2 linked regions of the Ovis aries genome follow. The main gene of each other region encodes a partner of the protein of the gene in region 2 in a complex. Links are inferred from orthologs where the notes say so. Each region holds a gene or a part of one and is shown on either strand. Other genes may lie near its edges.

The links.
Region 1: ODAD4 (region 2) and CLXN share a complex: the UniProt entries of both Homo sapiens proteins name them as parts of the outer dynein arm-docking complex. The link is inferred for Ovis aries from reciprocal best matches to the Homo sapiens genes ODAD4 and CLXN.

The regions. Positions count from the first base shown.
Region 1 is NC_056062.1:32,840,381-32,844,299, forward strand, and holds the start of CLXN (calaxin), read right to left. Parts: upstream 2,376-3,919; 5' UTR 2,279-2,375; coding exon 2,221-2,278; intron 1-2,220. UniProt on the Homo sapiens protein: Component of the outer dynein arm-docking complex (ODA-DC) that mediates outer dynein arms (ODA) binding onto the doublet microtubule. Seems to regulate the assembly of both ODAs and their axonemal docking complex onto ciliary microtubules.
Region 2 is NC_056064.1:41,838,462-41,842,380, reverse strand, and holds the start of ODAD4 (outer dynein arm-docking complex subunit 4), read right to left. Parts: upstream 2,473-3,919; 5' UTR 2,385-2,472; coding exon 2,271-2,384; intron 332-2,270; coding exon 200-331; intron 1-199. UniProt on the Homo sapiens protein: Component of the outer dynein arm-docking complex (ODA-DC) that mediates outer dynein arms (ODA) binding onto the doublet microtubule. Plays an essential role for the assembly of ODA-DC and for the docking of ODA in ciliary axoneme.

The sequences.
Region 1 (3,919 bases), on a different chromosome or scaffold from region 2:
GCCAACAAAGATAACAAATATTTTATGATTGTACTTCTATGATGTACCCAGAGTAGTCAAATTCACAGAGACAAAAAAGTAGGTGGTGGGTGCCAGGGGCCAGGGGAGAAGGAAGGGACCAATAGTCTCATGGGGACTCAGTTTGGGAAGATGGGAAAGTTCTGGAGATGATGAGGGGCATGGCTGCCCAACAATACGAATGTACTTAATGCCACTGAACTGTGCACTTCAAATAATTAAAGTGATACATTTTGTGTATTTGTGTAATACACAATTTGTGTAATACATTGTGTGTGTTTAACCACAGTAAAAACTCTAAAAATAAAAAGTGATGTTAATGGTTAGAGAAGAGAGACTTGCATGAAAGATGATGCGATCTGTTCCTGTATATGAAATGCTAGCTGAGGGGGTGTTGATTAGCCATTTTCCCATCTCAGCTGAATAAAAATGAAAGAATATTAGCTTATTACCCAAAGTATCAAAGCTGAGTAATTTTTCCACAGGAAAAATTCTCTTGCTGAAATGTTTCTTAAATTCAAGAATACAATACTAAATGAAATTAGGGACATCGGAGAAGGGATTTTTCATCTTTTCAGATTGGTGTAAGTCTGCTCTGCAGATCAGATCTGCCAGGTGGTGGATTAACTAGACCACCACTTAAGATACTTTCTTCTCTGATTCTGCAAAATCTACTCACTTCATCCTGCTGGGAACATCACCTGGCAACTAAAAGGAAATCTGACTTTAGAAGAAAGGTCTTCTGTGTAAAGTTTCAAAATTATTACAACGTCTATGATTAGTTGCCTGGCCCGGGATTCTCACTGTTTCTACAGAATTTAATCATCAAGTTTCTTAAGACTTACTTTAAAAATTTTATGTGAAGGACAAAAATCAAAACTGTTGACTGGTTTTCTTGTCCCGTTTTCACTTATCTTTTAATATATTCACAGAATGTCTGCAATACATTTGCAAACACACTGGAAAAGGAACTAAATCAGATTCAGTGTTTGCCGTGTATAGTAGTTATTGCATTGTTCATTCAATATGTGACTAGATGTTTTAAGAAAATCTGGTCTTTTCCAACAAATGAAAGTATTTTAAGAAAAACAATAGGACAAAACTCTCAGATTATAGTAACCATAATAATAGATTATAGGACAACTTTCATTTTCAGAGTTTAAGATGCTTATACATACCATAACTTTTATTTGCAGCACCATCCTGACAGACTTTCCTACCTCTCATTATATAAGATACTAACTCTGATTAGAAGGCACTAGATTCCATAATCTTTAAAACTACATCAAAACATGTTTGCTCTTCTTTCTTTGCACCATGGGAATAGTCTTGGGATTATGGTTTCTTGTACTTTTTAAGAGGCCAGTAGTTTTGTAATAAGCACATAACTTATAAGCTGGATCATCAAATATTTATACCAGATCCATAGCTTCCTTGCCCAAGCACAGTTCTGTTTTTGAGTCTGAATACAATTATAAGGTTACCTGTGAAATTCTAGGACCACTTTTCAGAATATGTGTGAGATGGGAGTAGGGAGGTTATTAACATTAATATCTTTCATAGGTGTTCATCTTGTCACCTGCCAAGTCTCCTTCACTTTGCAGGAAAGTGGGGCCCCAGAGATGGGAACAGATACTGTATTGTGTGATTAGCTTTTTTGAGCTCCTTGGTTTCCAGGCACATTTCCTTGCCCTGAGATACAGGTTTCTGTACCGCTTTAACCCACCTTTCCTAAGGATGTTCAACCATTGATAACCACTTTCCCATAAGGTTCGCTTAGTAATGTCCAGAACTTGGACCTTGCCAGTTGGTTTGCTCTAAGAAGAGCTTTTTGTTGTGCTACTTCTCTTGATTCCAGTGGGTTTTTAGTGCTTGTTTTCCACCTAAATCTGAGGCTAGGGCCACATACGTCTTCAGGGTAATTAAATCACATTTCTTATAAGGTAAGGGGAAGTTAAGAGAAGGTTTGAGAAGCAAGCACGTGCATGCATGAGTGTAGAATTTGGTGCCTCGACACCTGGAAACGCTCCCTAAGATCCTGGGCTCTGTGGGTGTCCACCCAAAGTAGCTGATGCTAGTGTTCCCTTCCAGACTTCTCTTTAGGGTCAGGCGTGGAGGGACTCTGCAGACCAGACTCTAGCACCCGCAGGATAGGGCCTGACCCGGGAGTCTCTGCCCGCCCAGCCCTTGATTCTTACTTACAATGCTTGCAATTTTTAGTTAAGGAGTCCGTCAGCTTCTGCAGCTTCTTGCGGTTCATGTTGGGAGCTCAGGAAACCGGGAAGAGGCCGGTGTCCGGCGGCGGCTGCCAGGACGGTTGCGAGCCCTGGGTCTGGGGCTGCAGGCAGGTCTCCCCTGTGTGTGTATGCTGTCCTAACACGCGGCGTGGCCGGGGCAACGTCTGGGCGGCCGCCGATTGGCTGCTGGGCAGGAGAGGGCGCGGTCCTAACAGGCGGCGTGGTCATGGCAACCCTCGGGCGGCCGCTGATTGGTTGCTGGGTCTGAGCTCTCTCACTGGGCATCGGGCCAGGCGCCCTCCGACCGCTTTCCGACTGTGACATCGGCGAGTGACCATCCAGGTGTGTCTGGCTCGGATTCACAACCCCTTTGCTGTGCTGCACCGTAAGTCAAGGTCTGAATTTTGTTTTGCGCTCCGTGCGGGGATGTCTTGGGTGGTGAGCGTGACGCCAGGTCCTCAGGGAGGTCTGGGAACCTGGGGGATGCAGGAATGAGCAGGCGTGGATCCGGACGACAGCTGTGCAGGAAGGGAGGGTGAGGGGCTTGCTCTCAGGTTGCCAGTCCTTTTGCTCTGATGCCAGAAGGGAGTCTGCAGCAAGATATCTTCAAGGTTTTGATGATGTTACTGAGAGCAAGAGGAACTTGTAATAATTATTTATTTTTTTCCCTTCCCTGCTCATTCTTGAGGTAGGCGCGGAGGCTGTCAGTCGAATATGGGGAAAACCCCCTAGCAATTTTTTAAGCTGGATAGAGTCAACCTTCCAAATAAAGACATGCTGACAAAGGACAGTGGCTCTGGGGTACAACCTGAATTTGCTTTTCTGGAAGAATATCCCAGCAAAATGAATCTTTTACTTATTTGAAAGACAAGTTTTTTGACTGCAAACAAAGGCTAATTTTTACATCTTTACTCTGAGAGAAGTTTCTGCTTTTAACACAGATAAGACACCGTGTTTGAATTAAGACAGTAACAAGGGTTAGTTCAGCCAGAAGGAAAAGGTTGTACAATATTCTCCAACATGTCACTTGTTTCACTTCAGAAGCAGTAATTCTTTTTAATATGAATTATTTTATAGTGTGTGTACTATCATTGTGAAATGGAAAGCAGAAAAATTCTACCGACCATGAGTAACGATTCCAAATCAGGTCTCTGATTCTGTTTTCTTTTTTCATTTGTTATGGAATGGAAGACTGGGATGCTGTTTGAATCCAGAGTCAAGGATGCTTGAGGAAGGCAGGCACTGTGTTATCCTGAAGCAGATTCCTTGAGAACAGTAACTAATATGAAATGATAGTGATTGTGAGTTTTCCAGTTAATGGCTAACTGGTATTCCTATGCATAGTCTTGTCGGGCAGGTGTGGCATTTCTAATAGGATTGTAGGGAATGAATAGGGGTGGATGTATTCGGATACATTCACTGTGAGACCTTAGGGACTTGTCAGATGTCAGATATGGCAAATACTTAGTCCATAGAGATTGTTGGGGTGCTCATCGTAGAGACAAGCAGCTGAAAGAGTGGTAGTGGTTAATAGGAGAAGCTGCTGGCCCCTCTTGTGTCTACCAGGTGTGCTGAACAGACACCCTGCTGGCCCATCTGATGTGTCCACGCATCTCTGCACACTTCATGTGCCGGAAGCTTCTTAAGCACCTTTGGGGAGCAGA
Region 2 (3,919 bases):
TGCACAGACTCAGGTGTGGTGGAACGTAAGGATCCCTGGGTTGAGAACAAATGTTGGGATACAGGGGCAGAGGCAAGTGATCTATGAAGGAACACAACAGTAAACTCCAGGCAGTCTACTGGCTCTCTAACCATCAGAGGCTGCTGCAGGTAGCGGCAGTGAGAAAAGCGAGAAGGAGTCCTCCCACCCCAACAGTCACCTTGCAGAAAGTTGGGTCTCCCTGGAGTGAAGCCTCAGCATCTTCCAGGGATTTTTCCAGCTCTCCCATCTTGAGGAAGCACTTGGAGCGGGCAACCAAGCAGTTCTTATCTCCACTCTGAAGGTGAAGAGCCTGAAGAAGGAACCACTCAGATTAACAGGCATCTGGCAGGGAGCGGTAAGAAGCTGGACTGGACACAGCAGCCCAAATCCTTCTGCCAGAGTTTCAGGGGGACTCCATGGGCCAGCAAACAGGTCTTCTTTGGATCCTTTTAGACTAAAACCAGTACCACACTGATCTCTGCTTAGTCAACTAGGTAATCTGCGGGTAGTCATCATTCACAAGGTATCTTGGAAACTACTGGTTGAGATGTGAGAATATACTATACTACCCAGTGGATATACTGAACTTCCCCAGTATCTGGGATTCCTCCAGTTCACTTAGAATCCTAGGGTGTTTAGTGCTTAACAAATTCAACCATGAACCTGAAATGGTTGTACAACACATTCAAAATACTACTTGAAGGGGACTTCTCTGGTGGTCCAAGGGGCAAGAATCAGCTTTGCAATGTAGGGGTTGTGGGTTCAATCTCTGTTCGGGGAACTAAGATCCAACATGCCACACGGCAGCTAAGCCCATGCAGCACAACTACTGAACCCGGGTGACGCAATTAGAGAATCCGTGTGCCACAAGATCCCATGACACAAGGGACAACATAATGAAGATCCCATGGGCTGCAACTAAGACCCCACGCTGCCAAATAAATAAACATTTTAAAACCAATACTATTTGAAGACCAAGCATTCTGAAGGCTAACAAAATGGATTTTAGGATGATCTGCAACTTGTGTTACCCATTATACATGCCCTCTCTTTTTATATAGCTTGTTGAGAATGAATCATTGTTTCAGGGGATTAAGATGAAAATGCCAGGCAAAAGGAAACTGTGATTTTGGACCCAAAGTGGGAATGGAAAGCTTCTCCTTGTCCCCATGTCCTTCCTTCTCCTGTCCGAGATCATTACATAGTCTGCAGTGTGATGTTCTTCCTAAGGCATCAGACTGTACCCACCTCCGTCTAAGACCTTCCTACTTTTCCAGAAAGAGCCTTTCTTTCCTAGAAAAGACCACTTCTCACCCAAAGCTAAAAGCCCTTGTGGTGTTTTTTTCTACCTGAGCTTCTCCAAGATGAAACAGTTTCTAGAAAAAGGAGAATGGATGGGGCTCCTGAACTTAATTGCTGGTCCATCTCATCCATTATTTCTGGTTTTAGGATGCGGTTGGTGATCCAAAGGGACTAAAGACTCTAGGTAGCAACTGAGAAGTTTGATTTTAGAAGGAGTCTTGGGACACGTTAGAGAGCTATGCTACCACCCCATTATTTGTAACAAGTGGGCTATTTGTTGTAAAAAAAACAGTCATAATAAAACATCCAATAGCTTATTTGCAAGACAGTACAGTAGTGTATGATGGTAAGGTTAGCACCTCAGCACTGAAGTCTGACTGCCTGAGTTTGAATCCCTCCTCTGCCACCTGCTAGTTCAGTGATCTTAGGCATGTTACTCAACTTCTATAAAAGCTTTCTTACCTTCAAAATGGCATAATAACAGCACCTCCCCCTAAGCTTGCCACTTAGCAGTGTGTCTGGTATCCAAAAACAGCGCTCAACTGTTACCGCCTTAGGGTGGGTTGGGACAATTTATACTACAGTAAAGTTTTATAATGTTATTTACTGACCGACCACCTTCAATAAGCAGCTGTGTGCCAGAGACTTCCCTTCTGCAAGCAGCCCCCTAGCCAACCTCCTAGCCAGTTATGGGAAACTGAGGAAGGAGACCAATTACGACACATTTGAGCAAAACTGTAGAAGACGGGGTCACTGTTAGCGCAGAGGTTGGTAATTAACAACCAGGTAGAATACAAATGGGAAATGGTAGAAAATGGCTAAACAGGGGTTTATCTTTGACAGCGGTGCATCAATCAGTAACAATGGAATAGTGGAAACAACAGGGTGGTCCAGGCATCATCAAGACCTCAGTGATGGGTAGCTGAACGTTTCAGAGCACGACTCACATTGCTGAAGCTATGGGCGGCTTTAGCGAACTCCCCGCATAGATACAGCCGCTCGCCCTCCGCCATGTAAGATGGAAAGGTGCTTCGCAAGACTTCATTTTCTGGGTCCGCCATGGTGACGGAATTCGGAGACGCTGAAGCGGAGAAAGGAAGGAAAAGAAGCCTGAGAACCTGAGTCTGGTTTGTGGAAGCTCCGTCTCTTAGCAACCGGGAGACGTAAATTACTTCCGGCCCCCATCCCCCACCCCCGGCTCGAGCGCGGGGCGGAGTCCGGGTCGCAACCGCCGCCTGTGTAGCTGGTGCCTAGGAAGCCGCGAACTGCTTGGACCACGACGAGCGCGTGGCTATTCGCTTCAAGGAGGCCTCTTTGCGACTTGTAGTGTTGGCAGTTGCACGCTCCATCGGTTCTTCCCGGAGTTGCTTCGCATTCAGAAGCCACAGTCAGGAAAAAAAAAAAAGTACAGCCCTGAAGATAGGGAAAAGATTGGGGGCATAATTCCAAATAGGGATAAGGCATTCGTGGCAAGTATTTGTGCATGTGTACCACCCTCAAGAGTGAGCCTCTTGGTGGCTCCATACGGTCAAGAATCTGCCTGCAATGCAGGAGACCTGAGTTCGATCCCTGGGTCGCGAAGATCCCCTGGAGAAGGAAATGGCAACGCATTCCAGAAGTCCATGGACAGGGGAGCCTGGCAGGCTTCAGTCCATGGGATCTCAAAAAGTCAGACGTGACTTACCGACTTTCACTATGCCAAAACAAACAAAAATCTGACGATACAGACAGATTAACTCAAAAGATTTAAATGTAAGAGGTAGAATTATAAAACCAGAAAAATAGGTGAATGTAATAGAGTGAAAAGCGAAAAACAAATTTGATGTCATCAAAGTGAAAATTCTTTGTTCTTCAAAACAATATTATTGGGCCTTCCCTGGTGGCTCAGAGGTAAAGAATCCACCTGCCAATGTTGAAGACATAAGTTTGATCCCTGGTCTGGGAAGATCCCAACTGCCCAGGAGCAACTAGGCCCTCCAGCCGCAACTGCTGAGCTCATTATGATCTACAGCCTGGCAGCTGCAACTATTGAACCCACGTGCCACACTAATGAAGCCTGCATTCCCTAGAGCCCGTGTTCTGCTACAAGAGAGGTCACTGCAGTGAAAAGCCTGTGCACCGCAACTGACAACTGGAGGGCAGCCTCCGTTCGTGGCAATCAGAGAAAAGCCACCGTAAAACAACCGAGACCCAGCATAGCCAAGAATAAATAAATAAAATTATATATTTTTAAAAAACAACAAAGTTAAAAAAATTAAAAGGCAAGCCACAGACTGGGACAAAATATTTGCAAAACATCTATCTGACAAAGAATTTGTATGCACAATAAATAAAGAGCTCTTACAACTCCATATAACAAGGCAAATAAAAAGTGAGCAAAAGATTGTAATAGTTATATCATCAGAGAAGATATATGGATGGTCAATTAGAATATGAAACATGCTCCACTGTCTTTAGTCATTAGGAAAATACAAAATAAGCCCCGCAAGTAGACACCGATACACACTTTACTAGAATAGCTAAAGTGAAAAAAGACTGAGTTTCCCAGGTGTTGATGAAGACGGTAAGCCACCAGAATTCTCATACACTGCTGGTG